Linked DNA regions of Caenorhabditis elegans. The protein of the gene in region 2 interacts with the protein of the main gene of each other region in a pairwise test. Each region holds a gene or a part of one and is shown on either strand. Other genes may lie near its edges. The genes, in order: nhr-5, unc-130, tbx-37 and nhr-8.

Region 1 (10,568 bases), on a different chromosome or scaffold from region 2:
TGGCCCGTCAGGTGTCGGACGCTTGATCATTTGAAGACCTAATTTGCATATTGATTATGAAAATTATTTTGTTGTAGACTATTATTATGATGTGAGTATGGAATATTCGGATGATTATACACAAAACCATCATTTCGTGGAAATGGGTAACTGGTACTTTCAACATTTCCATAATTTTGCTGTTCCATGACTTGAGATGGGTAATTATTTTGCTGAAAATTCTGGAAATACTGTGGTTGTTGATACAAATTCGGATAGTTGACATTCGGTGTGTATCCAGCATTTAATGGTGGATAACCAGGTGGTGGAGGGAAATTGTAGAATGTGGAGGATGTTGTGGAGGAGGGTACTGTAGGTCTTTGGGTTACTGTAGAACCACATTGAGGGAGGTGGGATGGTCCTGGAAATGTTGAAAATGTGTTTTTTTTTCATGAGCAATGGTTTTTGGCAACTCCAGAAACACAAATTTTAGAACATGTTTTTTACTGTTTCACAATGTTAATAAATTCAAATTGTCGAACAATTTTTCAATATATCAGACCGTTTCAAATATCATTAAATCACAAACCTTGAATATTACTCCCAATTCGTCGTGTTACTGTTGAACCACTTGGTACAGTACCCAAATCCTCAAAACTGGGTCTCGAAGCGATTGCATTCGAAACGTTTGAAGCGTCAAAGTTGAGACTTATCAAATGATTCTCGGCGTGATTGTTCTGAAAAATGAATAAAATTTAATTTCAAAACAGTGTGGATACCATAGCAGAATTAGGATCATCAGACGACGATTGGGTGGAAGAGGGTGCCTGGAACACGTAGGGAGACAATGGAAAAAATGTGGGAAATGGGAAAAGTAGGTATTGTGGAATTGCTAGAAGCACTGAATAAATCTTAAAGCGAAGGAAAATATGGAGTGAGTAGAACAGTTGATTTAATTTTAGAAATACTTTTTTTTAGAAATTAACGTTCTTGTTTGAAGGATTTAAATAGTGTTAAAAACATTTAAATGTTGAAAATTGAAATTATCTGCCAACACGAGCGAACTAAAAAAATTTTAAAGTGGAAAGAAAATATAGAGTAGATGAAACAGTTGATTTAATTTTTTTTGTTTCAAAATTTTCAGTTTCTCGAGTTGTTAATATAAAATTGATTTTTAAAGCTATTCCATATAACAAATCGTCGAGAAATAAGAATTTGAAAAAAAAAACAAATTTCGTACTGTTTCAAAACGTTTATAAATATCAGTTATATAATTTCAGCTTTAATTTCTATCTTCTTTCAGATGGAACATAATAAATTTTTAATAAAAATGTAGAATAATTTGTTTTTCTTCTAAAAATTAACATTAGGTGAGTTTTAAAAAAATCATTTCTTATTAGCTAAATATAACAATTTGATTGTTTAAAAAAATAAATTTGAAAATTGATAAACTTCTATTCACTTTATGTGATTCGTTTTCAAAACTAAATCATAAATAAAGTAGATTTAAAAAAAAAACAAAACGGAAGAGTTTGGAATTGGAATTCTCAAGAAAAATTGTATGTTTCAACTAGTTTTGAAAAACTAATGACTAATGGAAAAACACAATGATGTGCAGGTCGCTTATGAAGAAAAATATTTCATATTAACTTACTGGTATTTTGAATCACTTGAAAACTGTGAAAAGAATAAGTAACTCATAAAAATTTCAGACTCTTTATGTCTCATGGGGAACTTGCAAACACAAAGGAAACGAAAAAAAAATGCTAAAAACATATAGCTCACCCTCAAATCATCCAACATTTCAGTAATGTAGAAATTGTTTGGAGGCTGCAAAAGTCGAAAATTCTGTCGAGCAGGTTCTTCGCTGTCCTCATCGATAGTTGCTTGTCGTTTCTGAAAATATTACTCGGTTAGAGAACTGCATAAAATATGAAAGAGTCTGGTATTGAATTAAATGATAGCCACGAAACAGTAAACTTTTTTTTTTCAAAAAAAAGTACAATTTCGTCAAGTTAATGTAAATCATGTTCTAATTTAAAATGTGTTGCGAGTCTGGTCTCTTTTGTATTATTGAAAACTATAATTTAAAAAAAAATCGAAAAAAATAATCATTTTTTTTGGCAGAACAATGTATTTCTACAATTTCTTGAAATTTCAAAATTCATATCAAAACTGACCAATAATGCTCTTGGAGGAGGCAACCTATCAGTTTGTGTACTCATTTCCTTCTTCTTTTCAGCTTTCGCCTTTTCCAAACTCATTGCCGCCAGCTCGTCGACTTCTTTGAAAAATGGTTCAACTGTGAAACAGCCGAATAAGTCAGTGAGAAGTGGAATTTCTCCTTGATTTGAAAATGTTTGAGCAAATTGGAGATTTTCACTCATCGCATTTGCTAGTTCCTGCAAAAATTGGGGAACATGAATTTGGAGAAGTTATGAACTATAAAAGTAGTTTAGAATAAATTCGAATGAGGCAAGTAAATATGAATCCAAAAACAAACAGTTCAGATTTATAATAAATGAATATCAAACATTGTTGAAACGGTAGATTTTCAAAATTTTAACTTTTAAATGTGTGACTGTGTAGAAGCAAAGTTAAGATTTTAATACTTTAAAATTTCATTTTCTTTCTAGTTGAACATTTCCAAAAAAATTGTGAGTTAACCCTCTACAAATATTTTTCTCGTCGTCAAATCAGTAAAAGCCTATAACGTTTAAAGCGCCTTGAACAAATCACTCGAAACCCATTGTTGCTTATCATTACACGAAACGGAAAAAAAGTTTTACCATTTTTAAAAAAATCAATTTTTAAAATAAAACAACGTTTCAAATCCCTTAAAAACTCTGTTCAACGTCAAACAAATAAAACAAATATGAACTTACTGTAACAGTAGCCAATGAAAGAAGTATATGTCCGTAACATACATTCGGTGTCGGACTTAATCGAACCTCCTTAACAATTGAAAAAAGACAATCAGCAATTCGATTTCTCAGCTCAACAATCTTTTCAAACAAAGAATCCGATACATCTTTTGCCAGAGGATTCAGACAAATCATTGCATTCACGCAAACAATTTCCTCTTCTCTCATACCATATTCCCGATATACTGCTACAAGCTCATTTAGAGCACGTTCCACGAGTCCGTTGCCGAGGTGACTGAAATTTTGAAATGATTTTAAGAAATACAAAAGTAATGAATTCTTGAAAATGCTGACTAATATAATAGTTTACCGAAACGGAACGAGAATAAACATTTCAAGTTGAAAAATTGTTCACTGTTTCAAACTTATTTGAAAAGTGCATGATCTTTTTGAGGCTTTAATTACAAGAACATCGAACCAAATAAGTGAAAATTGTCTTCAAAATATAGACAAATCAAGTATTATTCTCAAATGGCATTATCAAAATATTTTATTATTTTTTGATTTCCCCGTTAATTTGCTGTCAAACTCACACAACGTGGCGTGGCGTCATAAGTCTTAAATAAGAGCAAAGAACATATGTACATATGAAAATTTAAAGTCGTGAAAGCATTTGTACAAGTAATATTCTCAATTGGCATTATCAATTAAACAAAAAAGAATTTTTTTAGAAATTCATTTCTAAAATGAAGAAATACCTAGAAAACAATTTAGTTGATTTTTAAAAAATTTCACTGTTACACTAACATTATTTTTGTGTTTGAAATTAGGAAAAAATGTTTCTCAAATTGTTGTAAGGTTTTGTGATTGCCTCGCTAATTTTCCGTCAAGCTCCTAAATTGGACACATATGTACTTTATAAACAAATATGAATAAGAAATGTTTACTGTTTCACATTGTTAGTGAATTCTAGCTAGCTATTCTATTTAATATTGAAACTTCTCATAAAGTCCAAGAAAATAATTCAAAAAAACTAAAACTCACTATGTGTCCTCATACATTTTTGATATATTCCGTGGAACATATGCAAAATTACAAAGGCATAGAACATTCTCATCCTGACAAGCTTCTGCTGTTCTCGCACAAAAATTGAAGACCATAAGTGGGGCGAATGAAGATTTGACCAGTGCTATCTGAGGGAATATTATTAATTAAGCGTGATTTTTAAGTTAAAATTGGGAATTTTTTTGAAAACAATTTGAAACCAATTTTTTTGTGCAAATGATGTTACACTAAAAATGAAAAAAAGCTGTGTGGCGTGTACTGCAGAAAACCTAATATTTAGGCCCCGCCTTCTTCTCGTCCACTCACGGAGAAAAGGCAAAAATTTGGACCCCAACCAATATCAGGCCGCCAACATCTCACAGGTTCCACGCGCAGCTATGTTTAACTCGCAGCGGGCGGAGACAGCTCACCACGCCCACAGCGAGTTAAACGCAGCGGCGCGCGGAACCCGTGAGATGTCGGCGGTATGATATTGGTTGGGGTCCCGAATTTCGCCTTTATCCCGTGAGTAGACGAAAAAAAGGCGGGGCCTAAATATTAGGTTGTCTGCAGTACACGCCACGCAGTTTTTTATTTTAAGTGTATTTGCAGTCAACATTAGAAAAATCCTGAAAAATAAAATTTTGGAATTTCGGAATTTTGGAATTTTTTTTTAAAGACTTTTGAAACAGTAACTATTGAAAAAAGGTGTTCTGTGTCAACTTCTCACCTTTTTTTCAGCGAAATCAAAGTTTTTCAAAGAGATTTAGTATCAGGCCAGAAAGTTGAAGAAAAACTAGCAATTATAATTAAATCCACTTTAAAACTAAATTTGAGGATAAAGCCATGTAGCAAGTAATGAATGGAGAGCGCTTTGTAGAAACAAACGTCAGTTAAATAAATAGGGTGAAGCAATATTTTTTTTTTATTTTTTTCAATTTTCTAAAACTTATTTTTTCTAAATTCCATTATTTTCTCACTTTGCAAAGAATATTTATTACCTTATCCTGAGGCGTTAGGTGTCCCAACAGTGGTGACAGCGATTCAACCCAATCAATTGCAGCAATCAACCTCCGATAGGCAATTGCACATAACTCATCATTTCCAGCCATTCTGTATGCTTCATATCTCATTTCTGTTCGTTTTCCTTTTAATTGAATCGGTGTTTCAATGATATCACTGAGCTTATCAATTCCTTTCAGCGGGTACAGTTTTGATGCTTCTTGTTGTGTATCTCCTTTCATTACCTGTAATTAATAGAAATTGTGTCAGCAGCCGACGATAACCGAGGCCCCCGCGCGAAATACCTACTTTTGTCTCAATATTCAACAGTGTCATTAATATTGTTCTCATCTCAACCGTCATCTTTTTCATCCACTCCTCGCGGCTTTTTGTGGTCCTACCACGATCAGTTTGATCGCACGTGGCTACTGTAGTTGTCGGCTTACGTGGCTTTGGAGGTGCGTCTCGGTTTGGGCGGACATCTGAGATATCATATTAAATTTGAAGGATGAGTACCGTTAAAACAAAAGCTGAAACATTTATGGGAAACTTGAAACTGAAAATTTTTGAAATAATTTTTGTCTTAAAAAGGGGAGTTCAATAGTATTTAATACATTCGAAACTGCTATATTGTTCCAAATATGTTTAACTGCTTTACTGCATAATTTTTTTTTGTTTTTGCTATATTATAAACGGAAAAATTAAATATTGAATTGATATCAAAACACAAAACGTATAAAGTCTGGAAAATCAAAAATTGAAAAAAAAAACTACTGTTTCAAGAATAAAATTTACTTTCAGGTATTAACTGAAAACGATTTATTTTTATGTATATTCGAACTTATGTCACGATTTAAAAATCGTATAGAAATAAATAAAAAATTCCAAAAATTTTGGATTGAAAATAAAACTCACAAGCAGGATTCATTCCTTCGCGTAGGCACTTATTGAATCTACAGCTTCTGCATTGGGTTTTCTCTGAAAGAAAAAACACAATAAATTGACTTTGGTAAAGGAAAAACTGTTTCAAGCGCGCAATTGCATAGGTTTTATGATTAAAATTATTTAACGAATTTATAATTTTTACTGTTTCAACACTAAAATATACATTTTGACTCAAACAGAATGTCAATATGACTTTGATAGCTTTCAAAAAGTAAAAAAAAGTAAAAAACTGCGCAATTCCCAATGTCAAACTCACGCAAAACACTAACTGTACACTCTCCATTTGCAGCACATTCCAGTTGATCAGCCTTCAGAAGAGCCCGACGGAAGAAGCCTTTACATCCGACACAGCTCAGTGCTCCGTAGTGAAGAGCAGCTTTTTCGGCTCCGCATACCTGAAATGTAATTGATGTGCCCCATAATTTTTTTACTTTAATTTACGGGAATTTGCAACTTGTAGCAACGAAGATTCAGGATAAGTTTTGTATTTAAATCTTTGTCAACTTAATTTAAAATTTATAAAGCTCTGTTTCACCTTCTCCAGGAATGGCAATTGCTTTAGACAATAATATTAATTTATTGAAAAAAACTTTCCCGTCCTAACTACATATACGAAAACTCACGTGATTTTTCAAAATATGTGCCCCTTTGTGAGTGGTTCAATGATGCAAACAGACTCTAAATTCCGTAATCCGATAAAACAAAAATTGGTCACAGAACATTTTAGTGAGGAACTTTTAAAAGTGTGGAAACTTTTTTTATAGGAAAAAAATTACTGTTTCAAAAAGTTTAGAACAATTTTAGAAATTTTTGTGCAATACTAGTCTAACTTTGCAAAGATTTGAAACTAACTTTGCAAAGATTTGTGGACGAGCTGCTGCCCAAATTGCTGTCCTCGGTTTCTTCGTCAGAATCTGAAAATTTTAAAGTTTAAAAATTTTTGGTCAAACAGGGAATCATACCATTCAAAGTAATCACATTGCTACTCCCAGAATTTCTATTCACATTTGAACTGTTACCGCCAGAAGACATAATTGATGTCAAATTAAATTGAAAGACTTTGCAATGAGATTGATTATCTGAAATTGAAAAAAAAATGATTAGATGAAAAGAAAATTGAAGAGAAGATTCAAAAAATCGAAAATTTAAAAATTCCACTGTTTCAATGAGAGTGTGAATTAATGCCTGTCTTGTTATAAAATTGCTATATCTGGTTTTTTTGGTATCTCAAATGATAAGCTGGAATCAATTAAGAAATTACAAAAAATTCTTTGAAAGTAGATTTTCGAAAAAAAAAAAGGATAATTATGGGAAAAATAGAATAATTAACAACAAATATTACAGAAGAAATAAAATTTGTATTCAAAAAGTGTCATTACTGTTTCAAAAAATCAATAATTTCTCCGATTTTATATTACTGACAATAGGGGGTGTTCACCAAAATTTTAATTATTCTAAATCATTTTCAAAATTAGAAATCAAACCAAAATCAAAAAGTCTTATTTTTGAAACGATGAAAAATGCAATGCTATTCCAGAAAAGTTTTATATACACTTTTAAGAAATTTTTGGTAAGTTTGAATATGACACAATTATTGATTCCAAAAAATTATATTAAAATTTGAGAACATTCAGAAAAAGTAGAAAATTGTGAATTTTAACAATCAATTTTTTTTGAAATTAACTGAACATTTGGGATATTCAAAATACATAACTTTTTATTAAAAATAAAAATTTGAAAACTCTTGAAAACCACCATTTTCTACCGTTTCTAAAATCTCTTCTGCACCAAAAAAAAATTCGGTAAAAAATTATCGAATTTTATTTTTTCGAAACAGAAAAAATAGAAGAAGCTATTCCAAAATTCAAAGCTTTTGCGTATAAATTTCACATTGAAGCAACTTTGTAATAACGAGAAACTTAACTTCAAAATATAAGAACATTCAGAAAAAGTAGACATTTTTGAATTATAAATTATAAACGCTTTAAATTAGTTTTATGTAATTTTTTTTTGAAAATTTGCTGTTTCAGTAATTATTAAAATGGTGATGCTTATTTGTTAAATTGTTTTTACTAGCAAATGCTATGAGATTTTGGAATATCAAATTTTCTAGACCGTTTTCTGAAGTTCATTAAAGTTAATATTTCTAACAACCTCCTGATTTTTACCAAAAACCCTTAATAAATCTGCTAGCAAAAAAAATAAATGTTTTCGTTAATTTTATTACAGTTTCAAAATTATGGGATCTGGAAAAATTGTAAGCAGCAGTATTCGTCTTGTTGATTACCTAAGTTGAATTCTCGAAATATAGAAAAAAAACATTATTGCGCGGAAACACAAAAATTCCTTCCAAAAAAGTGAATTATCAGTAACCCAGAAGAGAGAAATCAATACAAAAAAGAATCAGGCCCCCTCTACCGACAAACAAGTCGCCGTCAAGTACGGTCATGTGTCTCTTTTTCTCTCTCTCTGATCAGAAGACTAGATTTTCTGATTCTCTTCAGTCCAGCACACTATCTCATGGAATAAATATCTTCTATCTTTGAACTGTGCGGTTGGAAGTATTTAGTGGAGAGAGAGAGAGAGAGAGAGAGAGAGAGAGAGAGAGAGAGAGAGAGAGAGAGAAAAGTGATGGGAAGTTGAAACTTGACCAATACGACGATTTTTTCAAATTAAGCGGGCTTCTTGCGTTGAACGATCAAAGTTTGGAGGTGATTGATTATTTGGATCGATTTGGCCTTCGCAATATATCAGAAATCGTTTTTATCACGAGAAAATTTTTAATTTCAGTAAAATGGAAATTGTAAGTAAAACGATACGAATGGGATTAAAGGAACACTGAACATTTTATGGAGGTTGTGAAACAATATTCTTTTTTTTTGTTGCAATTTTTAAAATATTCTACCGTAAGTCCTAAAGTCCTAAAGGGAAAACTTGGATCAATTTTTTGAAATATTATTAAAGACATTTTTGCGGCTTTAACACAAATTGACAAGATTATTACCGTTGAAAAGTAACAGGGTTTATGAGAATGTTGAAGCAATATTTGTTTTTTTTTTTTTGAATTTCCCGGAAATTTTAAAGGTCGTATCACTATTCTTCTAACTGTGTGGTAGAAAAGGATGAAGAAAACTTTAAAAAATGTTGCTAAATCATTGAAATTTGAGAATAAGTACATTACTCTGCACCCGACACCGCGCGGGGCTGCCCTCAGAAATCTGACAATATGTCGGCTGCTACTTTTTTATTACGGCACACTTTAGCAGAGTTTTTTTTGAGTCTGATAGCGCCCGACATCTTGCGGGTTCCCCCAAAAGGATTGTTGGTGAAATGTCGGGTCTTGTAAATTGCTTCTCAATATAAAGAGAAAAGCATTTTCAGAACTTTTCCGTATACAGGTGTTGTTAATGAAAACTGGATTCTGAATTTTTGGACATTACTCTTGTTCTAACGAGAAATAATTACATGGAAATTTTGAAACAGTAATCTTTGAAACATTTCCAATTAAAAAATTTTATTTTCTAGTCATTTGTAGAAAAGTTATTAGTGAAGTAGGCATTTTTAAATAAACTTTCAAAATGGTAGGATCTCGTACGAAAATATGTTTTACCTCTCCTCCAGGGTATCTCACTGTTGTAGAGCAGTACTCAAAAAAAGCAGAAAATCTAAGTATATGAAGTTTACCGTTTCTATCTATTACATCAAAACTGGTAAGAATATTCTAGAAAAAAAGAAAAAAAACTTTAGCATAATTAGAAAAATACTTCCCTGAACAAAATTAAAAAAAAGAAAACTCAAAATTTCGAAAAAGCACAAAGCACCTTTGTGTCCTATTAAATTTTAATTCAAATAACTGTGAAACAGTAAACTTTTTGAATTAGCATGGCACCTACTTTCAACTATAAGTAACAAGTTGTCATTGTCCTTTAAATTTTTTCAAAAAAATTTATTGAGACATTGAAACAGTTTGAAAAAATTATTACTTTGTGATATTTTCTTCAAAAATGATAATAATTTTAATACTAGACAAAATCTGACTTAAAAGTCCAAATCGTGTTTTTTAAAAATACGTTCAATGGAAAATCCGATTTACGATTTTTATTGGCTATGAGTCTAGTTGAGACTAGTTTTCTGGGAACGAATCGGAACAAAAAACTTTAAAAAAATTTCTGTTTCAGACAGAATTTTATCCACTTATTTAAATTAAAGTCAGATGGTATTCCTCGTGACTGAGAAAATAAAAACCTCATTTTTTTTCAGGAAGAGGGAGAGAAAATATCATACTGAGAAAGTTTTGAGTCTGTCTTAAAAAGGAAAATGTGAAACAATTTTTCATTCAAAACTAATTTTATCAGCAAATTTGGAACAAAACAATTTTACTGTTTCCGGTAGAAGTGAAATTTGGTTATCTCACTTTAAAATTGATAAATAGGTCGAACAAAAAATTGAAAATTTAGTCACATAGTCGAATATTATTGCAAAAAAAAAGAATCTTTTGGCAGCAGTCTACTACAATTTCATTGAACTGAGAAAAATTAGGTCAAGTTGAAGACTAGTTGAAACATTTTATTTGAGATTTTAGCTCCACTACAATCCCGCCAACCAATAATTTTTTATTTACAATTTCAAGTTTTGGAAAATTTTATGCGCCATGTTTCATAAATTCACTAAAAATTCATTCAAACTTTTGTTTGGGTTGCTTTCTAATTATTTTTTATTAAATTTCCTAAAATT
Region 2 (6,806 bases):
TCATCTCATCATTTTTTTCGCTTTGCAAAGTCCAGCGGAAATCAGTTTTAGAAGAAATGTCGTTTGCAAGTTTTACCTGATCCCCCAATAACAAGTGCAATAACAATAAACTAGTGTTTGGGGGGGATGGGCAGTTCCCTACCCAAATTTATAGCCAATCTCCATTGATTACCGCTATCATTCTGTCCTGAAATAATGCGTCTCATTCAATAGGGGGTAATTGCAAATGGCAATGAAATTGGGTTTGAACTTTTGCTACTCAAACATGGGTGATTTTGAACATTTTACTGAAAACTGATCCTAGAGTGGTTAACCTGATTTCTGAGTTCTTTCAATTCTAAAAATAATAAAAAATAACTCAAGATTTTGGTTTTGTGAAAAAAATATAAAAACACGTGAAAAACTTGTTTGTAGTCATTTTGCAAAAAAAAAAGTTGGTTTTTGAGCACAATGTTCAACAAGCTTTGGGTGTAGGTAGGTATGAGGTAGGCCTGTCCATTAGGAAAGTATCAGTGTTCATTACGTCTACGCCGATGTTATATGGCACCTGCCGATTTGATCAGGGCTTGAATATTAGAAGCTAATTTTGTACTTTTTGTCTAAAATGGTTCTAATTATTTATTAAAATACCTTGGGTAGAATATCGAAGAGCCCAACTGGTCTCATGTCTCGCCGGAAAACGCGTCCTTTAGTTACTTGCGATCATATTTTTATGCTATTCGAGTTCCTTTTATGCTATTCGAGAGCTATTCGAGGAGCTACTCTTCTATTTTGGCTCTGATTATTTTTTGTCACTGTTAGAATTTCTATAGGCACGACTGACGACCGCTTTTTTCCCGGAAAACGCCCCACGTAAATTTGCACGCATACTTTTGGTTGGGAGCCAGTGGGGCGAGGATCCTCCCCTTCACGTAACACCTCAGTCTTCCGAGTAGGAACAAAATCGCAAAACTTTCGTGGTAAGACCACCGGCACCCCATAAACATTTATTAAGTAACACACACACAATTAATGCGTTCCTTCCCACTGCCAATCTTCTTATCAGAAAGATGAAATGACCGTCTCAACCGAGCCTGTGTGTCTATTTGTGTGTGGCCTTTGTAATAGTTACCACCTAGCTGATAACCGAGAAAGTTGGATTACCTCATGATTCCCTCATAAATTTGCCGACAGGTTCTTTAACGAAAACATATTTGTCTTTTGATTGTCTATTCTCTATTTACAAATTGATAATTGGGAGAATGCCACCCAGAATTAGTCGATTTAAAATTGAGTATGATCTACATAGATCTGAGTAGTGGTTGATCACAATGATATAATTATTATATATTAGTATCATTTTCTCTTTCTCTCTCTCTCTAAATTCACCCTGTCATCAGTGATGATTCTCAGTTTCGAGCGGCGGAGGGGCGAGCGTGTGGGCGGAGCCGCGTGTCCAATGAGCGTGGGGCGGGGCGGTCCAATTACCGGTGTTTTCTTTCGTTTATTCGCTTTTTGTGACTATGACACCAAAACGGAAGAATCAGTGGATCAGGCAAAAATATTATTATTAGAACTAATAGTTGGATTTAGGTTGGGTATCATTCTGTACCTATTTCACCTGATTTCTTGTGCTTCACTTGATCTTTGTCTTTATTATTATTGTTATTATTGTTGTTGTGCTCCTTGTTGTGCTCCTTATAAATCCCGTAAACTCTAAATCTAAATTGTTATCTAATACTTTTTATTGGTTACCAATAATATTACTTCTGCCAAAAGAGGCAAAACGCCGCGTTTCAAAAAATGAAAATTTTTATCTGTTGTTCATCACTGTCAAATTTATGATTATTAATATTTCTCACCATTCAAATTAAAACTTTTGCTTCAAAACTACATAAAACATTCAAAAACTTGAAACAAATTTTATTCGATTTTTGCAAGTTTTTTATTTAAAAAAAATTATACCGTATTTTCCCTAGCATTCATTTTGCTCATATCTCGGTTGTCCCAAGTTTTATCAAAAAAATTTTAACTGTCATAATGTAGAAAAATAATTTTTCCATAGTTTGTAAGTTGACAATTTTTTGATAGAACCAGAGAGAATCGAGATATAAGCTGTCAAAGAAGAGCAAGGTGCATGCAAGTCAAATAGGAAAATAGTGGGTTTTCCGGTTTACAAATTCGCATAGTTTTGAATTTTTTACAGAGTTTTCACCATTTTAGAGAATTGCTCACATTTTCTGAATTTTTTTTTCAAAAAATTAACTGGTACCTAAATTGAAATTTAAATATTTTGAGCAGAAGAGGTGAAACTCTTTTTTTAAATTTTTTAATTGCTTCTCATATTGATACTATTCTCTTTTTGTGCCAAAACTTCTAATCAATGCCCCGCTCCTTTCAAATCCTAAAGTTCCACTTAAAAACTGAAGAATCAAAAATCTTGAAACCTGTACTGTATGTACTCTTCCAAAAAACCACCTCCGTGCTTTTCATCATTTACAACTTGTCTCCCAGTCCTCGTCCGCAACTTGCTTTTGATATATTTTTTTCGACTTCTTCATTTCAACACATACCTACACACACAAAAAAAGTTTGCGCTAACACATGTCCGCCCGTCATAAATCTACAGTAATCTCGGAGCTTTCTTTCTCTCTCCTGATGCTCCCACACCACTCTGTCATTTTTCAATTGTTCTTCTCTTGGAAGCTCATCTCTCGTTTTCATTTGATCCTGCTAGAAGACACTTGATATGTTGTTTGTGTTAACTAAGATAACTGATATTGTTGAAAGTGATAGCTTTGCTTTGCTTTTCAACTTTTCGTGTTCCTCCTGCTCTTTTTTTTGACAGCTTACTAGTACCGAGTTCGGACCCCTGCATAGTACTACAAATATTATATTAATATGAGAATGATATACCCTTATTATCCCCCCACGTACTCTTGAGAATCATTAGTATGTTTCAATGTTTCGCCAACAATGGATTGGTATCATCTGCCCTTACCTACCGTACTCCCTCAAGTGCTCCCTCATCCATGATTACCGTACTCCCCTACTCTCCTCCCCCTTCTATCCGATTATAACATTTTTATTAATAATTATTATTGTCTGGTGTCTCGCGATGCCATCTCTATCTTACGATTTCGCTTTGAATTTTGATAACGCTATGAAAATATTAGCTTTTCTTATCTTTTTTATGTTTTACTTTTTTTCATAATTTTTTCATCAACTTACTTGCAGAAACTAACTAGGTAGACACCGGTAACAATGCTCTTTTCCATGGAATCAATTCTATCAAGTACCAAGCCAAAACTGGAGCCACCTCCGAAGCTAGAGCCGGAAGTGACAATCAATGAGCAAGTGGTTGATCTGCCGCGGAGCAACACACGGCTCTCCGAGCCATCAACTTCTGCGTCGGTTCTTGAACATGATTTGAAGTTTGGGGAGTCCCGAAAAAGAAGTCGGTCTCTTGGAGACGAGCCCACGGAAGATGAAGACGGCGTTCCAGTTCGGAAGGCAAACAAAAGAAATCATTCAACTTCAAGTGCTGCAGATAGCTCATCTGATGATGCGAAGGATGATGACGACGATGATGATTCTACATCGTAAGTTGGGAACTTGGGAAAAACTTAGGAATCTTAGAAGAAATTCGATTTTTCTCGACCTCGACCTTTTAGGTCCTTTTATACAAAAAGTTTGTATGCTCAATTTTTGTGAAACTTTGATCTCCGATATTTTTAAGTCTATTAGACATTGTTCAACTACCGTATTTTCCCTGTATGACTTGCATTCTCTTTACTCTAACTTGACGGTTTATATCTCGGTTGTCCTAAATCTTACCAAAAAAGTTTAACTGTAAAAATGTAGAGATATATTTACATGCATTTTGTCAGTTGACAATTTTTGATGAGACCAATAAAAACCTAGATATTGGCTGTCAAAGTAGAGAAATAGGTAGAGCAATATACCTATAATATGTACAGTGATATGTACAATAATATGTACTGTGTAAAACAACTGTAACTCTATAATTTTGCAGTCGAAAATCAATGTCTGGTCACCGAAAGAGCAGTCACGCAAAGCCACCGTACTCCTACATTGCACTCATCGCGATGTCAATTCTCAATTCACCGGAGAAGAAACTGACACTTTCGGAAATTTGCGAGTTCATAATCAATAAGTTCGAGTATTACAAGGAGAAGTTCCCCGCCTGGCAGAACTCGATTCGTCACAACCTAAGCCTCAACGACTGTTTTGTGAAGGTGGCTCGGGGGCCTGGGAATCCGGGAAAAGGAAACTATTGGGCGCTGGATCCGAACTGTGAGGATATGTTCGACAATGGATCGTTTCTGCGCAGAAGGAAGAGGTAAGGGGAGCACAGGAGAAAGTATTACAACCTGACGGGGAGTAGTAGCCGGCGGCGGGGTGAGCACACATACGAGATGTGAAGAGAGGGAAAAGACAGTTGTTTCGATAATTTGTCACCAATTTGTTGTCATTAATCGCACCCTCGAGGGTAGTGGAGAAGCCTGGGAAAAGAAAACTTTCGGGGTTAACAAGGGAATTAGTGAGATAAATTTTCAATTCAAACACTTAATAATTTCAGATACAAGAAAAACAGTGACACATATCACGAAATGATGTCCCATCATCCGATGCCATTCCCTCCATTCCTCCCGCAAGGAATGCCCTTTCCTCCAAGAATGATGCACCCGATGGCTAACATTCCCATGCTGGGACATCCAATGAATCCAAGAGCAGTTCCAAACATGCCAGCGTTCTTCATTCCACAAAATATTGATAGCCAGAAGCTCTTGTCAATGATGGCTTCGAGAATAATGCCAATGGATGCTCCAGTCAGCTCTGGCCAGAAGAGAACTTCATCGAGCTCCTCACCAAATGAGAATGGATCTTCGGCAGTTTCAGATAAACTGAGCGCTTAGAAGAACACTCAATTTCCTTGTTTAATTTTTAACAATTGTTTCCTATTTGCTTAACCTTTTCTAGTCTCTTGTTCCTTTTCCGTTCCCCTTCAATTCCTTTCAGCATTCTTCATTTCCCCTGATCTCAATCGTGCAATCAATAATCAATTTTTTGTTAATCCTCCTGCACGTGGTACCACAACTTCATTTCTTCAACTGATCTTCCCTTTTCTTTTTTTTCTTTGTTTCATTATCTGTGAAAGAGCTTATGTCGTAAATAATTCGAAAATATATATGTCCATCGTCAGCATTTTTGAAGTTAAAATCACATTAATCAATTGAGCAAACAGTAAGATGAAAGGAGACCGCAGAAGCTGCTGAGCCGATTAAAAGACTGAAATTGATAAGGGAGGGAAGTGACAAGACTGCTGCAGAGTTACTAGTCTGCAAAATGTCATGAATCCAACAAAAAATCAGGGTTCAGAAGACTAGGTTTTTAGTAGAAAACATACCGAATTTTTCAATTAGTCTTGCACCAAATTTGCTCTACTTTGGCAGCTCATATCTCGGTTGTCTTCAATTTTAACAAAACATTTTCAACTGTAAAATCATAGAAACATATATGAAAAATATTTCTACTGTTGAAATTTTCGTGATAAAACCAAAAGCAGCCGAGATAAGAGATCTGAAAGTAGAGCAGAAGGGGTGCAGTACTAATAGGAAAAGTACCGTAACTTACCTTTTCCTAACTTTTCTAAATTAGATGGATATATAACTGGACGCGAATATTAGCCACAGACAGAGTTCCTCAGCCTCCAAGAGTCCTCATTTTTCCATATAACCTGGCTCCTTTGGACTAGATAGAATTTCTAAAAAGACGACCTATGCCTACTTTTCTGTGAATAAAAACCATTAAAACCATAATTTAAATCAACATAAAGCTACTTGTTGTTTGGGCAAATAATGATACTAACAATTAAATGAACATTTTGAAAACTATGCTAAGATTATTCAAATGTTATCCTAATTACCAAAACCCTAGTTTAACTCGGTGACTTTTTGAACTCCCGCCAAACCATATAATTATCTCAAGCATGTCGTCTTCATTTCTATCCTAATTAGATACCCATACATAGTGTATATATGTATATTCAAACTATACAAAACGGATATTGCTTATCAAATTCATTCATCAGTTTGCCACGTCAAATCAAATTATCGAGAAGTGTGTGTGGGGGTGCAGTTTCACCTTATGCCACCTCATGTTTCGTTTGACGGCACATGGTGACAGGCCCGATGAGATTTTGAACCGTTTAATTGATACTAATCGGTATCTTAGGTTGTATTAATGTAATTACAAATACCGTATTTTTTAATGGTATGCACCTAACTAGTTAGAGTTATCAATTGTATTGGACCAACGAAAAAAGCCGATACAAGCTTTCAAAGTCAAACAATTGGGTGTAATGCTAATAGAAAAAATAAGATAGTTAGGAAAAAGGTGTTGCCAAAATATAGGAGCCTCTGCTACAGTAACCCGTGTTTAAAAGTGCCAATATCCTAATTATCTCATACAATGCAAAACTCTCCATCACCACCTGCAACTACTCCGCTCATATACAAAACAAGGATTATTTCAAGTAGGTTGAGCATAAAGATGTGAGTACGATAAGTACCGGACAATAGCCAGCCAAAAAAGGCTAACCGCCAAGAGTATTTCCATACAAAATGTGCGTCGGCTAATCCGCAAATTATAAGGTGCGACATACACAAGTCGTCGAGGTGGCGCAACTTAAAGATTCATCTGATACTGGGCAGTGAGAGAGCGTGTGAAGTGTTATAGACGCAGACGCCAAGGACATGGAGTAAGTGAGCAGATTGTTATGCAACCGAGCATTTGAATACCAT
Region 3 (7,053 bases), on a different chromosome or scaffold from region 2:
CGTTGGTCGAGCTTGGCAAATTTGCCGATTTCGCCGTTTGCCGAGCTCGGCAAATTTGCCGAATTTGCCATTTGTGGACCTTGGCAAATTTGCCGATTTTGCCGTTTGCCGAGCTCGGCAAATTTGCCGAATTTGCCATTTGTGGACCTTGGCAAATTTGCCGAATTGGTGGTTTGCCGAGCTTGGGAAATTTGCCGAACTTGTCGTTTGCCGAATTGGTCGTTTGCCGATTTTGCCGTTTTCCGAGCTTGGGAAAGTTGCCCATTTTGTCGTTTTTTGAGATTGGGAAATTTGCCGAATTTGTAGTTTGTCGAGCCGAATTTGCCATTAATTTTGGCACTTTTTGAGCTCCAAAAAAAATTGCGATTTACCAAGTATGATGACCACGGCAAATTTACCGAGTTTGCCGAATTTTGCCTCGGTAGCTCGGTAAATTTAAAAATTCACCGCACACCTTTAATAAGTCCCGGGTAAAAAATCATAACCAGAAAAACATTGACGTCATTCCTTCATTATTACAGTCCAGTTCCCCACTATATCGTGTGTCCTCTTTTTCCAAGCCACGTGGCAATTCCAAAAGTGTCCTGGCATGCGTATGTACCAAGACATAGATATCTGCCAAATTTGGGAGATAGAGGTGTGTGTGTGTGTGTTACGGTTGAAAGAAGCGTGCCGCTTAGAACTACGCTTCAAAGTTTCAGAAAAAAAACTGAAAATTAATTTTTGCCAACTTTATATTAGGTTACCAAATAAGTCCCGTGTCAAAAGTCATAACTATTTAGAAATTATTGTGTGTTTTTCAGATGACCCTAATATCTCTAGCCGGCATCACATTTTTCAGACAAAATCGTATCTTTATTGTTTGAAGCTTTTTCCTGGATGTTATATATTTTTAAAATTGTATGCAGTATAACAACAAACAATCATACAAAAAAGATAGGAAAAAATCTACTGGGAAATTTTTTTTTAATTTTAAAAATTGGCTTGGCATATTTACTAAAAAATTTCCGAAAAAGATTTTTCCTTAATTTTCTTAAATGGACCTCTAATAAAAAGTTGTCAAAGTTGCCCATAGCAATAATAATTCTCAGTTTTTTCCAGAAACTTCGAATCTTAGCTCCAAGCGGCACGCGTCTTTCAACTGTAAGACACACACACACCCTTCTCTTCCAAATTTGGCAGGTATCTAGATACATTTCTTAGTACATACGCATCTAAAGTCATTGCCACGTGGCTTGGAAAACAGAGGACACACGATATATTGGAAAAATGGGAAGTCAAGGGATGACGTCACTTTGAACCACGTCCCTATAAAAACCGCAAAAGCCATTGAAAAGTTGAGAACTTGTGATGATTATTTTGTCAGTAATCGATTTCTCGAATCTCGACAGTTGGGAAAAATATTTAAAATTGTTAATTAACAGAAATTGCATTGCATATGCAAGTTTCAATTGGAAAAAAATGAGGAAAGGCTTAAAACTTATAACTCCTGTCACGCGATTGCTGTAGGGCAGAAGTGTGCGGCAAATTTGGCAAATTCGGCAAATTTAGCAAATTTGCCGTGATGAGCGAACTCCTAAAAATTAGAAAATTTCTGATATTTTTTTGGAGCACCAAAATTACGGAGTTCTTAGCACACGATTGATTTTTGAATAACGTCCATGTGGTCGGCCTACATAGAATTCAAAATAATTAAATTTTATGTTATTTTACTAGAATTTTTAGTACAAAATCAATAGTTTTTGTCAAATTAAAAAAATCCAATTTTTTGTGGTGTGCGGCGAATATCAAAAATATACTTTTACGAAATTTGCCGGATTCGGCAAATTTGGCAAGTTTTCTGGACACTCCTGCTGTAGAAGCTACTAAAAAGTTGCCAACTAATAAAATATTGTAAATTTTTTCACTATAATTTTTGTTGAAAAATCTCTGACAAATCCCATGATACTCCTCTCTAAATCATTCTCCCGCCCTCCCGCTGAGCACGACACATCTTCTCCTTCAGAGCCAATTCGCACCGCTATCACTAAAGTGTGAGGTGTCGAGGTGTAGGTGGAGGTATACTTTCGAAGTGTGAACTACACATTCTGGATTGTTAAAGACTACAGGAGCACAAAGATGCTCAGTGGGAGGTGAAAGAGGCGTTCTGGATTCTGACAGTAATATTGGCTCACAGTTTGGTGAGTTTTCAATTTTTTTTTTGGTATTTTTTCGTCTTTTTTGCTAATTCGTGGTGTAGCTCATCATTATTACTATGGTGTGAATTATTTTGAATTTTTTTGTTAAAAATTTTTTGGCTAGAAGTTCAGTAAATTGACACTTATAGGGTGTAAAAATGTGAAAAAACCAGCTAATAACTTTATGCCAAAAATTCTGGAAAATAAAATATCATTAAAATTGAATTACTTTAAATTTTGTGCAGGCAGACTACACTAACCTTATTGAAAAACCAAACGTTTGCTAAGAATTCCGTATTTTTATTTCTCCAAAAAACACATTTGCCGAATTTGCTGAATTTGTCCAGCTCGGCAAATTTTAAGATTTGCCGCACACCTCTGGTTTCAACCAAAAAAAGGTTTAAAAAAATGCTATAAAATTCGAATTTCCGCGCATTTTTTGATTTTCTAGAAAGTTCTTTTTACGTCTTCGAGTATGAAATAAAATTTGAGCTTCTGTTTAAAGTTATCTGCTCGCGAATTTCAAATCCAACATTTCCAGTGCTAACGGGGGTTTTCCATCTTTAATATTTATAAATTTCAACTACACTTTTCCAGTGTTCCCCCGTTAAGAATACAGCCTAACCCTCTGTTCTTCAATTAGGAGAAGGGCCCCCATGCGTTCATATGTATGTACCAAGTTGTGCCCGACTGCCACGTGTCCACCACTACGCGTGATCTACCTCTTCCCGCTCCTCCCACTTACCGGCTCAGTTTCAGAGCATGAGTGAGAGTGTTGTTTGCACTTTTATTACAATTAGCGCCATTATTATTATTTTATTGTTTTACTTCCGTTCTCACCTTTTGAAATCTTTTGTATTAATATTTTCATAATAATTTCCCTCTATTACAGCATCACTATGTACTCGTGCACCTCTCCTTCTGGAATTGAGGTCTCTTTGAACAAGCCGGAGATTTGGGAAAAGTTCTACCCGAAAACTGAAATGATTGTGACGAGAAAGCGTGGGAGAGTCATTTTTCCGCATTTGGATTATAACGTCAAAGGATTGGATCCGGATAGTCTCTACTCGATTTATATTCATTTGGAACGTGTTGACGGGATTAAGTGAGTTGGAATAAATGATAGAAAAAAGTTGTCAACTAGTAAGTAAATTGTAGGAAATTAAATTTACTACAATTTGGTAGTTGACAACTTTTTGATTAGATGCATGCCTAGAGAGATATACAAGTTTAAAGTTGGAATTTTAAACTGCTATAGCATAGAGTAAATTTATTTTGCTTTAATTGACGTAAATATTGAACTGTGATGACCAAATATAGCCGTTAAAATTTTTTCTAAATTTTTTAAATGATTTTTCAAACTGATTTTTTCCGGATTAAGTTTGCCAGGATATTTCGAAAAAGTGAGTGGAGTCTAATCTCCCATTTTTTTTTGACAAAATTAGAAAAAAATCATAAATTATTTAGAAAAGTTGGAAAATTTTTTTAACAGTTATATTTGGTCATTACGGGCTATTTTCTGTCACTTGAACCAAAAATTGTTTCTTCTCAGCTTCTGAAGTTCCAGCGCCCGCAACTCTTTTAGGAATTGCCCTATAGAAAAGCAGTTAACTAACAGTTTGTAGATATTTGAATTTTCTACAGTTTTTTAGTTGACAAAATTTTGATAACTTTTGTAGTTTTTGAAATATTGATGCTAATAATGCCCCTCAATATTAAAAATCGGAAAAATCGGATAAAAAGCGGATTTTAATGGGGTTATTCAAGTAATTTAGCAAAATGTATTGAAATACATTTGTGACGTCACAAATGTATTTAAATACATGTTTTTATATACTTGAATACAGTTGTGACGTAATTTTTCTACACTTTTTAATTTTCCGACAATACTTGAATAACCCCATAAGCGCATTTTTCTGCAACAAAATCAATATAAAAATATTCGTTTCTAATTTTCAAAAAAAATATCTCGTTTCTAATTTTCCATTTCCAGATACAAGTTCGATGCCGGAGAATGGAAAGAAGCCGGAAAAGGTGATCCAATTCTTCCAATCCAGTACAAAGAGCATCCACGTGGCAAGCGTACTGGAACAGAATGGATGAGTGAGCCCGTCTCGTTTGCTCACCTCAAAATCACTAATGACCCGGAAAACAAGGATCAGAAGCTGATTTTAGCTCAAAGTCTGCACAAATACATTCCAGTTTTGCATATCAAACAGCTGGATCCTTATAAAGGAACATTTCAAATGGATTTTCATGGAGTTGAATTTCGCTTGGAGGCTACGCAATTTATCGTTGTTACTGCTTATCAGGTTGGGATTTTCAGCAATATTTCGAAAACTACAAATGATATAAAAAGTTCACGGATTTCTGGTTTCCCTCATAAACTGAAATGGGAGAGTTTGTGCCGAACTAGGCATTTTGGCTCGGCCATATCTGGGGTAGATTTACGGCGCGTTGCGTGTCGCGTCGCGGCTCGATTGTAAAACAAAATGTATTTGTCCGTGTGGATGTGGTGTATCTGTGGTGTTTGCGCACTTTCGAAGCTACAGTAACCTCGAAATGGCCGAATTTGGCTTTAAAAAACGGTTTAGTTATAAAAAAAAATCGAGAGTAATTCGAATTTGAGCTTTAAAATTTTGAAAAATCATACATTTTTCCCGTAGTTTTTAATACAAGTCTAGGTAAATGTTTACCAATTTTATGTAATTTTCCAGAACGAAGAACTCACAAAACTCAAGGTCCATCACAATAAATTCGCCTCCGGATTCCGTTCAAATGGCAAGAGACGGCTTTCTTCAGAGTCTGAAAATTCGGAAAACTCCCCGCCAAAGCGCAGCGCCTCGGCAATTTCTTCATTAACCCCACCAGCAATCTCCCCGCCAATGGATTATACCCAGCAAAACCCATATTTTTTCAACCAAAACTTTTTCTCGACTCCGCAGAGCCACCAGCCACAGTTTGCTGCTCATAGTGCCAATGCTCAAAATTACAATAATTTTGGAGCTCAAAATGGGGCTCAATTTGATTGGAATGTGTATTATCAGAGACAATGGTACTGGCAGCAGCAAATGATGATGTCAGGTGGAATTGGACAACCACAAATGCTCAATAATGGATTTCCGAATTTGTGATTTTTTTTAAATATTTATATTTATCGCTTTTTTTTAATTTTTAGCTTTTACAATGATCTTGAAAATAAATTTATTGAATGCACTTTTAATTGAGGATTGTTTTCATAGAATGTAGATAGTTAGCGAAAGTTGGCGAAAACTGCCGCAAGTTGCCTAAAGTTGTTGTAAGTTGGCGAAAGTTGGCGAAAGTTTACGAAATTTACAAAAAAATCAGGATTTGCCGGAAAATTAGTAAAGCAAAAGCCGTTTAAAAATTGCCGATAGTTGGTGGAAAGTTCCAAAATTTAGGGTAAATTATTTTTAAAAACGCAAAAAAATAGCAAAACTTCCCAAAAGTTGCTCTGAATTCGAGAAAATTATGAAACCGATTTTTAAATAATTTATTTATTTATATTACCAGCCGTGGACCGCACCTCCGGCGCGGCCCCCGACTTCTGGAGCTGAAAACCAATTTTTCTGAGACTACCGTAATCATACAGTACTCCTACCGTACCACCATTGTACCACTACAGTACGCCGACTATATCCCTACACTAACCCCAACTCACTATCCCTCCAGAAGCTAAAACTTCACAGACTACAAAAACTACATAGACTATAAACTATGGACAAACGGAATAAGCGCTTTATATATAGTAAATGATAATTAAAAAAATGTTTGAAATAAAAATAAAAAAGTGAAATTTCAACAAAAAAAATCAATAACCTTTTTGACCGTGACCCTTAAGCTCCGCCCACAAATCGATAGGTATAAAAACGCAGATTTTTCACTAATTCAGTCATTCCTTCTGTGCGAAGAAACACAACAAAAAGAAGAATATGATGGTTGGATATTTGGCTGGATGTATTGGCATCATGTTGGTGCTTCAATTGTCAATTGTCAATTGTCAACTAGTGCCAAGTGAACGACACAATCAGAAGATAGCTGAACAGATCAATGATTACAATAATGATCCACATATCATCAAGGCCGAGATTTCTGCACCGGATGTCGTTGTCAACAAGTATACACTTCAGGATAAGAACATTTCTGCCGCTCTTAAGGTTAGTTTTTTCCGTTGCAGAAAATCGAGAAAAATCGATAATTTCGTTCTGAAAGATCGATAATTAAAAATTTCAGAAACATGTTGCGGAAGCGGCGGCACACTTTGCAACAATGACTGACGCTGACCGTGACGCCGCAGTTGTCCAACTACCAAATGCAAATCATACTGGAAATGGAGGAGGAGGAAAAGGAAAACGATCATCTGGCATGAAAATCGATGTGGAAGGAACAAAGAATCTGCATAAGCAGGCGCTGGAATTTCTCGACAAGTATGATGTTGAACTCCACGTGGAGTAGTCATGGTCAATGACGTCACTTGTTCGGAGTTAATCTGTATGCTTGTGTGTTGATATGAAGGTTTTTGTATTTTTTTATTAAAGAATGAAGAGGTTGAAAGGACTTTGTTTAGTATATTGGATTAATGATATTGCAAAATATATAATTTCTTTGTAGATTATTGATTTTTTGTAGAGTACGGATTTTCACTATTTGTTTTGTAATTTGTCGTCATAAATTTCACAGTGCGCCTGAGAATCTCGATAGTTTTCCCTACTTCCCTCAAAAATCGATAATTCAATTTATTCGAATGAAATAGTTTTTTCACAGTGCCTCACGCCTGCCTCTCGTCTTGCTTCTACTCGCCGCGCTAGGCAGGTCGCCGGCAGGCATTTTGGCGCCTGCATTGACGCCCTACAAT
Region 4 (7,716 bases), on a different chromosome or scaffold from region 2:
CTGCCTCTCAGTTGTCATGTTAAGTTCAAGGCGAAGACGGATTGGAGCATTTGGATTATTGTAGATTGATGGGCTTTGAAGTTCACGATGCATGTCAAGAGCTTCGGAGACTGTGTAGTATTGCGTTTTGAAGTGAGATCTGAAACATTTTAGAATAAAAAATAGAAATCACAAAACAGGTCTGATACTTTATGAAAACATCCAATGTTGGCTTTTCAGGGAGATTAGCTTCATCGTCAATGTTGAGTCTGCCTGGAAATTGTTGAGATGGTGATAGAAGATTTTTCATTCGCCGAATATTGATTTTTTCCATGAATGAGTATTGTTTTCTGGCTGCCTCTTTTTCTTCCCTTTTCATTCGTCTTTCTAGTTTTTGTTGGCGAGTGATTGTCTGCTTCAACGCTCTTTTACGCCCTTAAAATAAGTTTTTTTTAAAACTACATTTATTTTAAAAAAAAACGAACCTCTAATCTGAATAACATCCGCTGACGCTGGTCGTAGAATGTTACTCCCAGTAGAAGATACCGTCTGTCGAACAAACGATAACATCCTGAAAAGAACAAATGAAAAGTTTAAATAACAAGGAAGCACATTTATAAGGTTATTTTAAAGTTATTTTATCTGTTAAAACAGTGACGAACTATAAATAGGTAGATTAAAGCTGGATTGATTTATTAAATTGTATAAAATGTTGAAAAGAATAGATACATCTATTTTAGAAATAAATAAAAGGGAATGTAGACTTTCGCGAATAAAATGGATCTCAGTATACATGAACCATTCCGTAGAAGAATACCCAGAGCAGAACGAAAGTGAGAAGACCATTTCCGTGCGACCAAGTGAATGAGTTTCTTTCCGGAAAGTAGCTCAACCAGTTTCCTTGTGATTTCACGTTCCATATAACGGCCTGGATTCCAACAGAAATGAAATAGAGAATGAAGCCTTGAAAACCGGTAAGTCCGAGAATTCCTGTAAAAGAAGGATTTTTTAAATGATTTTTTTTGAAAATTACCTGCTGCCATACCGGCGGCGCACGACTGACACGTTCTTCCAAACTCGAGAGCTTCGACGTTGTTGGTTATCGCTGCCGTGCTGAAGAAATATATACATGATTATTGAATTCATGATTTTTACTTCGACTCACTTGTAACACTCATCGTTCTTCTTTTCTGCTTTTGACGATTTATCGGACATTTGAAAATCTGAAATTACAAATAACACTAATAATCAAAAAAGAACATGTTCTAGAACAACATAAAATTATTTAAAATTGAATAAAACTGGATTGCAAAGGGAATTTAAGAATTAAATAGAATAAATTAATAAATTTGTCTCTGAGAAATCTGTGCATTCTGACGTGACAGTGTATCAGTCCTGGGGAGCGCACTTGCAATATTCTTTTTTTAGCTAATTTTTTTTCTTTAAAAATATTGCATTTGCCTCGCTTTTATACTGAATCGCTTTTATAAATATATTTTTCTGCTTAAAATATTATTTTTATAAATTTCAGACATGCTTCGAAGTATACAACATGTCGAAGCCCTCAGCAGTCGTCAAATTTCGACAACATCGATGCTTCTCAAGAACAGAGCGGGTAAAACCAAGGTTTGTTGATCTTTCAATTATTTTCCCATTTATATTTTGCAATTTCCGTCTACATCAAATAGAACACAACTTCTTACATACGAAATGGCTCAAAAACCACATCATATTGGCGTGCGAAAATCGTGGCTCACATGGCATTCACAGAATCTCGAAGGTTTGTTCCAAAACTGAATTACGATTTAACAATTTTTAAAATTTGTTTTTAGAATTCCGTCAATCTCAACCACTGGTTGTTGCACAAGATGAAGTTGTTCGTCGGTTCATTCGAGGATTTTTCCCACAAAATTTAGTCGTTAGTGGAAATGAGGTAATAACTTATCAAAAAAATTTTAAAATTCAGTATAGTATCTATTTCTCTTATCCAAGTTTGCAAAACTTCACATTTTTCCAGATTGTAATCAAACGACGAGGAAACGTACTGATCGTTGCCGGATTCCTTCAATATTCGCGTCGACTCGATATTCGAAGAATCTACTGGATGTTCGGGTTTGCAGAAGAATTTCTTTCCATTCTTCTGAAACAACCAGTGAAGCTAGAAATGGCATTTGTGGAATCCGAAGAAGATGTAGCATACAACTATATCTAAAACTTTCATCTTTGTTATAGAACCGAAATACCGTAGTTTTATTTTACTTCTTTAATTGTTTCTGTTGTGTTCCAAAAAACAAAATAAATCTGAATTTTGGCATTTGGATTCTGGATTTTGGTCCCTGAAAAATATACGAGAGTCAACGATAAGACTTCATAAAATTATCAATCAGCGCATTGGTTTGACAAAAATCAATAAATATTTGTGCTCACTTCGCACACTGATAAGCAAACCCCATAGTCTTTCATACAAACTATTGCGCCCTTTCAATCGTCCTTTTTAACTATACGTGAATCACAGTTAACTATGCGTCGCTCATATAATCACTGATTATTATTCGTATCTTATTCCACTTGTGGTGTGACTTATCTGCAAAACCTAACAACATTTTAATCACTAAAACAAAAATTTCGTCATTCCATGCCTTCGTCTTCTCCATCGATGGACGAGTCTCGAAGGTCTGCTGTTCCACCAAAAGAGCCTGCTGGCAGAATTTGCACAGTTAGTTTTGATATTATTTAGAATATAATCACTTTATTGAAGAGCCTCTTGACGCTGGTTTAAAAGTTGAAAAAACCATCAGAAAGTTGTAATTTTATTTTGGAAACGGCGTGAGATTTTTCGATTTTTGCTTAAAAAATACGGTATCCGGTCTCGCCAAGACAAGTCTTTAAGGAGTACTGTAATTTCAAACTTTAGAAGAACATGCATATTTAACGTGAAAAACTAAAATAAAACACATAAATGTTTTTAAAAAAGTATTAATAGCTATGAATTATCAATGAAAATTCCACAGCTTGAAATTACAGTAATCTTCAAATGCACACAGCTTTTTGTACTGAACAAAGATTGTCGTGCCGAGACCTGGTACCGTATTTTTGACCTAAAAATCAAAAAGAAAATTCCGTTTGGATACATATCGTCTTTTCCAAAACGTAAGATGAGTTCCATAGTGGATTACTACAAATCTGGTGGTATTTTTGTAAAAATATAATAGAAAAACGTTTTTTCATTTATACTTCTAAACCAACAATTGTAATTAATTTTAGGTTTGCTCCGACCGTGCAAATGGATACAATTTTGGTGTACTCACTTGCGAATCTTGTAAGGCGTTTTTCAGGCGAAATGCTTCAAAGCATAAGGTTTTAAAAAAAAAAGCATACTCAAGTTGTTAAAAATTTTGTGTTAAGGAAATTAAATGTCCTTTCTCTGATTCTTGTCAAATCACATCAGCATCTCGCAAGTTTTGCCAAGCTTGTCGATTGAATAAATGTTTTGCTGTTGGAATGAACAGTGAATGGTTAAATGATTTGAAACCGAAGAGTTCAATTGTTTCTGGAAAATTCAAAAGAAAGAAGCCTGATATGAAGAATAACTTGAAAGTGGAAGTAGATGATACTGAAGAAGATTTGGAAAATGATGATGAAGAACAAATTAGTGTCCCCAAAGCATTACTTGAAAAGCTTATCAATAAAGCTAATGAGTAAGTTTCAATGAAATTATCCGGAAATAATAAACTACTGTTTCAACAAATTTACTATAATATAACGGGAAAATAACAAAAAAACGCCTTTACCCCAGAATGCAAAAACAGTAGCCGCGCACGTATGTAGGCATGAAGAAGTGCCTACCATGGCAGCCTTAGCACGTTCTCACATTTATTCAATTGAATCTATTTAATTAAAGTGGTCTCTCGATAACCTGTGATATGTACCGTATGAGAAAGTACAATTATCTAATCAGTAGATCACACAAGACCACAAAACTACGTCACTCTAGTAACAGACAATCGTACATTGAACTTTCAGAAAATCAAAAGACAGATGTACATGCAAATGCCAGTGTGGATTCTATCCAATTACTCAAAGACTCACCGCATACGAACCAAAGGATACAACAGCTGTGGTTAGTAGAGTTTAAAATACAAGAAAATCAATTATTTTATATTCAGAACAGTCCACAAGATATATCATTCTCCCATCATCTTCATCATTCGGATTCGTTTTATTCTTCATCTACTTCAACTCTTTCTCCAATGTCGGTTATCAGTTGTGCTCCATCTTCACATGATTCCAGTGGTTACAATACTTCTCAACTTGTTACTCAATCTCCAACCAACTACACAGTTTCTCCGGCGTCTATACCGAGCTCAATAACTGGTATGTTTTTAGGAGCAGCTCGTGAAGCTGAACGCTAGAACCTCACTGTCAAAAATGTTTGACAACAAGCCAGACATAACTCATCTAGAAGGCTATCACTACGAATTCAAAGTAGGCAGAAGAGTTACGTCCGCCTTCCGAGCCGACAAGAAAACACTTTTATTAATACGTACTGAAGTAAAGAATATACGTCTAAAATTTAGAACTGTCTCCACAAATGCCATCGCAATATCCTCCAATGTTATCACCATTTCAATTTGGTGTTATGGCCCAAATGGCTGCGCCAGCCAACTTTTTGAATTTTCCTCCAATGCCTGAAAGAACATGGACTCCAATTCAAGCAGTGTCCACAGTTCCAGTAACTGAAACTCTACCTCCAAATTTGCTAGAACAAATTCATTCAAGTACTGTTTCATGTCATCCATAAGTTTGAATTTTGCAACTTTTCAGAGATTGACAAATACATTGGAGTTTTGAATGAAGACGAGATAACTCTTTTAGAAGAACTTCATGTACAAAATGAGCCATTAAATGCTCCACTAATTCAATGGCACAATCCGAAAAGCATTGATGGAGTTTTTAGAATAATAGAAGAAGCTCTACGAAGGATTGTTAACATGGCATGCCAATTAAGTCTATTCCGAGAGCTTCACGTGGACGATAGGAAAAATCTCTTGAAAAGTGGATTTGGGGAGTTGTTGATTGTGCGGGGTCTTATGGCCTATGACAAGAGTGATAACAGCTGGAATCATTCATTTGGAGTACGAGGAAAAATGGAGGTAAAGGTGGAAGTTCTTAAGAATCCAAAACTTGAAGAACATTACAAAGCACACATGAACTTGCTTTCAACGTTTGGAGAAGATGTGAGGAATAATGAACATTTGATGCTCATTTTCAATGCAGCTGTTATATTTCATCCTCGTGAGCCAGTTTTTCAAAATTGATTCGTTTTAAAGTTATTAATTCAGATGTCTCCAACTTACGTGATAGTAAACGAGTGCACTCAACACAAGCAAAATATTTCCAGATGCTCTTGAAGTAAGTACTGTACGAGAAAAGCACGTATTGTATAACTTTTTGATTATAACATTTTTAATATTGTCCTACTTTCAGACTTCTTACATTTGAATATGGTAAATCACGTGCTGACATTGCATACAGTAATCTTCTGAATCAAGTCGTCGAGCTTCATCGTGTGAATAGGACCTTACTTCGTGTGTTTTATGGACTAGATATTGCTCAATTGGATCCTCTGATACGAGAATTATGTTCTTTTGAATAACCATTTATTAACCATGAATTATTGCACATATTGCACACTTATTAACATGAGAAAGTTTTTGAGAAAATTGCACAAAAGTCAAGGGCAGAAAGATGGAGAAAATATTACAAACAAATACACGTAGATCTGGATCGAAATCAAAATAAAAATTAATATAAAGGTATTAATTAATTACTCCTCTTTCAACCACTTTTGGCACTTGGCAACATAAGCATGAGAACGAGCACATGTTAGTGCTGGATAATAGTTCTCAATAAAGTAACAGTGCTCTTTTGCGAACTCTTCAACGGTATCAAACAAGAATTGACGTGCGAAGCTACGAAGGTTCAAGCATTGATGCTTTGTCACAACAGCTCTCTTTTTGTTTTTCTTGACACGTTGAGCACGTGTAACTGGAGCTTCAGTGGTGGTGGTGGTTGTTACATCTTCTTCTTCATCTTCAACTAACTCTTCTGCTTCAATAACATCATCTTCCTCTTCCTGTTCCACGGCAGCTGTCACAACTTCTTCCTCTTCTTCTTCTGGTGTAGTTGTTGGAGCTTCAGTAGTAGTTGTTGTGGTTGTAGTCTTCATTTTTGAGAGACGAATTCTCTTCATAACTCTCTTTCTAACCTCCTTATTCAAAAGTTCTTCTTCCTGCTCTTTTGTCAACATCTGAACCTTGCTGCTTCTCTGTTCGATAGCATCATTCATTGGAGTATCATTTTGAACTTCTTGTTGGGTTGTTTCCTGTCTTTTTGGGCTCTCTTGAACCTCATCAACTCCATCGAATTGCTCAGCAAACTCTTCGGATGGTGGGGAAACACTTGGAGCCACTTGGGTCTTCCATTGCTCGTCATAAAGATCTGGGAACTTGCGGATCTCTTTCTTTTCTTTCTTTGATGTTTTGTGACTCTTTCTCATCTTTCTCTTCTTCTTTGGTGGTTCAGTCGTTGCTTCTTCTTCCTCCTCAACTGGTTTCTCTTCAACCTTTTCATTCTGAAATGATAAAAATGAGGATTTTTAAACTAAAAAGATATTCCCAAATGAGTTATTAGTTGAATTTGCAGCTAACGTGCTGACAGCAATTGAGTGCAAATTAAAAAGGCCCCCAAAATTAACTTATCCGAAGGCATCTAAAAGTGCATAAAACAAAAAGTTACTTCTTCAACTTTGACGACACGTGGTTTGCGAATCTTTCTTTTACGATTGATGCTGTACACACGAATGCTTCCCTGAGACAAGTGTTAGATTAGCAAATGTGATTGATTAGAATGAACAGAGTATACCAAGAAGAGAGAGAGAATAAATAAGACTTACCTCTTTTTGAAGAATATTGACTGGTTCCTGTTCCTCCTGTGCTTGAATATCGATTGGATCACTCATCTGAACAGTTTTTGCTCCAAATTGACGAGAATGCATGTCTTTTCCCTTTTTTTCAAGATAATGAATCTTTCGTCTTGGAAGGGACTTGCGTTTTGGTTTAATTGTCTCTTGCTCAACTTCTTCAATTGTCGTGACTTCTGGTTCTTCGGTAGTGGTTGGAGTGGTAGTGGTTGTTGGATCAGTGAACAAGTTGATCTGAAAATAATGGAATTGAAACTATACTTTGTAGTTTTTGTGTGGGTTTTTTTTTCAAATTTTTACTTTCATTTTTCAGTTTCTTGGATGCATTTATGGAGCCACTTCAGCACTTCTACAAAATAAGACAGTGGGACTTGTTCCCCGATATTTGTCAATAAATTTAATGATAAAGTATAGACAATTATTTACTTTATTGAAAAATAACTACCATTTTATTTGAATAAATTGGAAAAATAATCAAAAATCGTATGAGTTCAAAATTGCTGGTGAAAATTGCCGAACAATTTTTCGGTAATGTTCCCCCAGATAATTTCAACTTTCAGATAATTTTTGAGCACTTTCTCAGTCCAAATCAGTCCCAAATCAAACAAAACGCATTTTCAGATAAAGTAAATATTTCTCTATATTACAACTTCGAAATTTAATGTAAAATAACGGAGAACATGCACACTGTTGCTGCGCAGTCCTGGTCATTCGTGCTTTGAAGTGATACTGATAAAACGTTTTCCAAATATGTA

Evidence for each region.
Region 1: the proteins of unc-130 (region 2) and nhr-5 interact in a two-hybrid assay, tested with the Caenorhabditis elegans proteins (one large-scale study listed by BioGRID).
Region 3: the proteins of unc-130 (region 2) and tbx-37 interact in a two-hybrid assay, tested with the Caenorhabditis elegans proteins (one large-scale study listed by BioGRID).
Region 4: the proteins of unc-130 (region 2) and nhr-8 interact in a two-hybrid assay, tested with the Caenorhabditis elegans proteins (one large-scale study listed by BioGRID).

What each region holds. Positions count from the first base shown.
Region 1 is NC_003282.8:15,396,631-15,407,198, reverse strand, and holds the start of nhr-5 (Nuclear hormone receptor family member nhr-5), read right to left. Parts: upstream 6,923-10,568; 5' UTR 6,867-6,922; coding exon 6,797-6,866; intron 6,749-6,796; coding exon 6,687-6,748; intron 6,677-6,686; exon of another isoform or gene 6,656-6,676; intron 6,428-6,655; exon of another isoform or gene 6,407-6,427; intron 6,230-6,406; coding exon 6,091-6,229; intron 6,043-6,090; exon of another isoform or gene 6,022-6,042; intron 5,912-6,021; exon of another isoform or gene 5,891-5,911; intron 5,868-5,890; coding exon 5,805-5,867; intron 5,730-5,804; exon of another isoform or gene 5,709-5,729; intron 5,628-5,708; exon of another isoform or gene 5,607-5,627; intron 5,402-5,606; exon of another isoform or gene 5,381-5,401; intron 5,372-5,380; coding exon 5,199-5,371; intron 5,135-5,198; coding exon 4,889-5,134; intron 4,757-4,888; exon of another isoform or gene 4,736-4,756; intron 4,037-4,735; coding exon 3,888-4,036; intron 3,858-3,887; exon of another isoform or gene 3,836-3,857; intron 3,705-3,835; exon of another isoform or gene 3,683-3,704; intron 3,326-3,682; exon of another isoform or gene 3,301-3,325; intron 3,176-3,300; exon of another isoform or gene 3,155-3,175; intron 3,139-3,154; and 28 more. UniProt on the Caenorhabditis elegans protein: Orphan nuclear receptor.
Region 2 is NC_003280.10:11,278,752-11,285,557, forward strand, and holds unc-130 (Forkhead box protein unc-130), read left to right. Parts: upstream 1-3,214; 5' UTR 3,215-3,243; coding exon 3,244-3,581; intron 3,582-4,015; coding exon 4,016-4,342; intron 4,343-4,582; coding exon 4,583-4,919; 3' UTR 4,920-5,208; downstream 5,209-6,806. UniProt on the Caenorhabditis elegans protein: Probable transcription factor. Binds to DNA sequence motif 5'-CTGTTTCA-3'.
Region 3 is NC_003281.10:11,223,142-11,230,194, reverse strand, and holds tbx-37 (T-box protein 37), read left to right. Parts: upstream 1-3,069; 5' UTR 3,070-3,076; coding exon 3,077-3,282; intron 3,283-4,170; coding exon 4,171-4,489; intron 4,490-4,894; coding exon 4,895-5,311; 3' UTR 5,312-5,387; downstream 5,388-7,053. Other genes in the region: Y47D3A.13 (DUF4349 domain-containing protein), read left to right, coding at 6,167-6,355, 6,432-6,653. UniProt on the Caenorhabditis elegans protein: Transcription factor. Required for mesodermal induction, acting redundantly with transcription factor tbx-38. Together with tbx-38, acts by inducing cell fates in the AB lineage, thereby playing a role in development of the anterior pharynx.
Region 4 is NC_003282.8:7,708,535-7,716,250, forward strand, and holds nhr-8 (Nuclear hormone receptor family member nhr-8), read left to right. Parts: upstream 1-2,609; 5' UTR 2,610-2,614; coding exon 2,615-2,695; intron 2,696-3,243; coding exon 3,244-3,336; intron 3,337-3,384; coding exon 3,385-3,677; intron 3,678-4,002; coding exon 4,003-4,099; intron 4,100-4,145; coding exon 4,146-4,353; intron 4,354-4,556; coding exon 4,557-4,757; intron 4,758-4,803; coding exon 4,804-5,274; intron 5,275-5,321; coding exon 5,322-5,391; intron 5,392-5,466; coding exon 5,467-5,635; 3' UTR 5,636-5,664; downstream 5,665-7,716. Other genes in the region: mrpl-1 (39S ribosomal protein L1, mitochondrial), read right to left, coding at 1-139, 189-414, 465-549; emc-6 (ER membrane protein complex subunit 6), read right to left, coding at 764-969, 1,013-1,092, 1,145-1,194; mrps-24 (Small ribosomal subunit protein uS3m), read left to right, coding at 1,513-1,605, 1,654-1,759, 1,812-1,912, 1,997-2,191; F33D4.6 (aECM cysteine-cradle domain-containing protein), read right to left, coding at 5,807-6,613, 6,778-6,849, 6,935-7,195. UniProt on the Caenorhabditis elegans protein: Orphan nuclear receptor.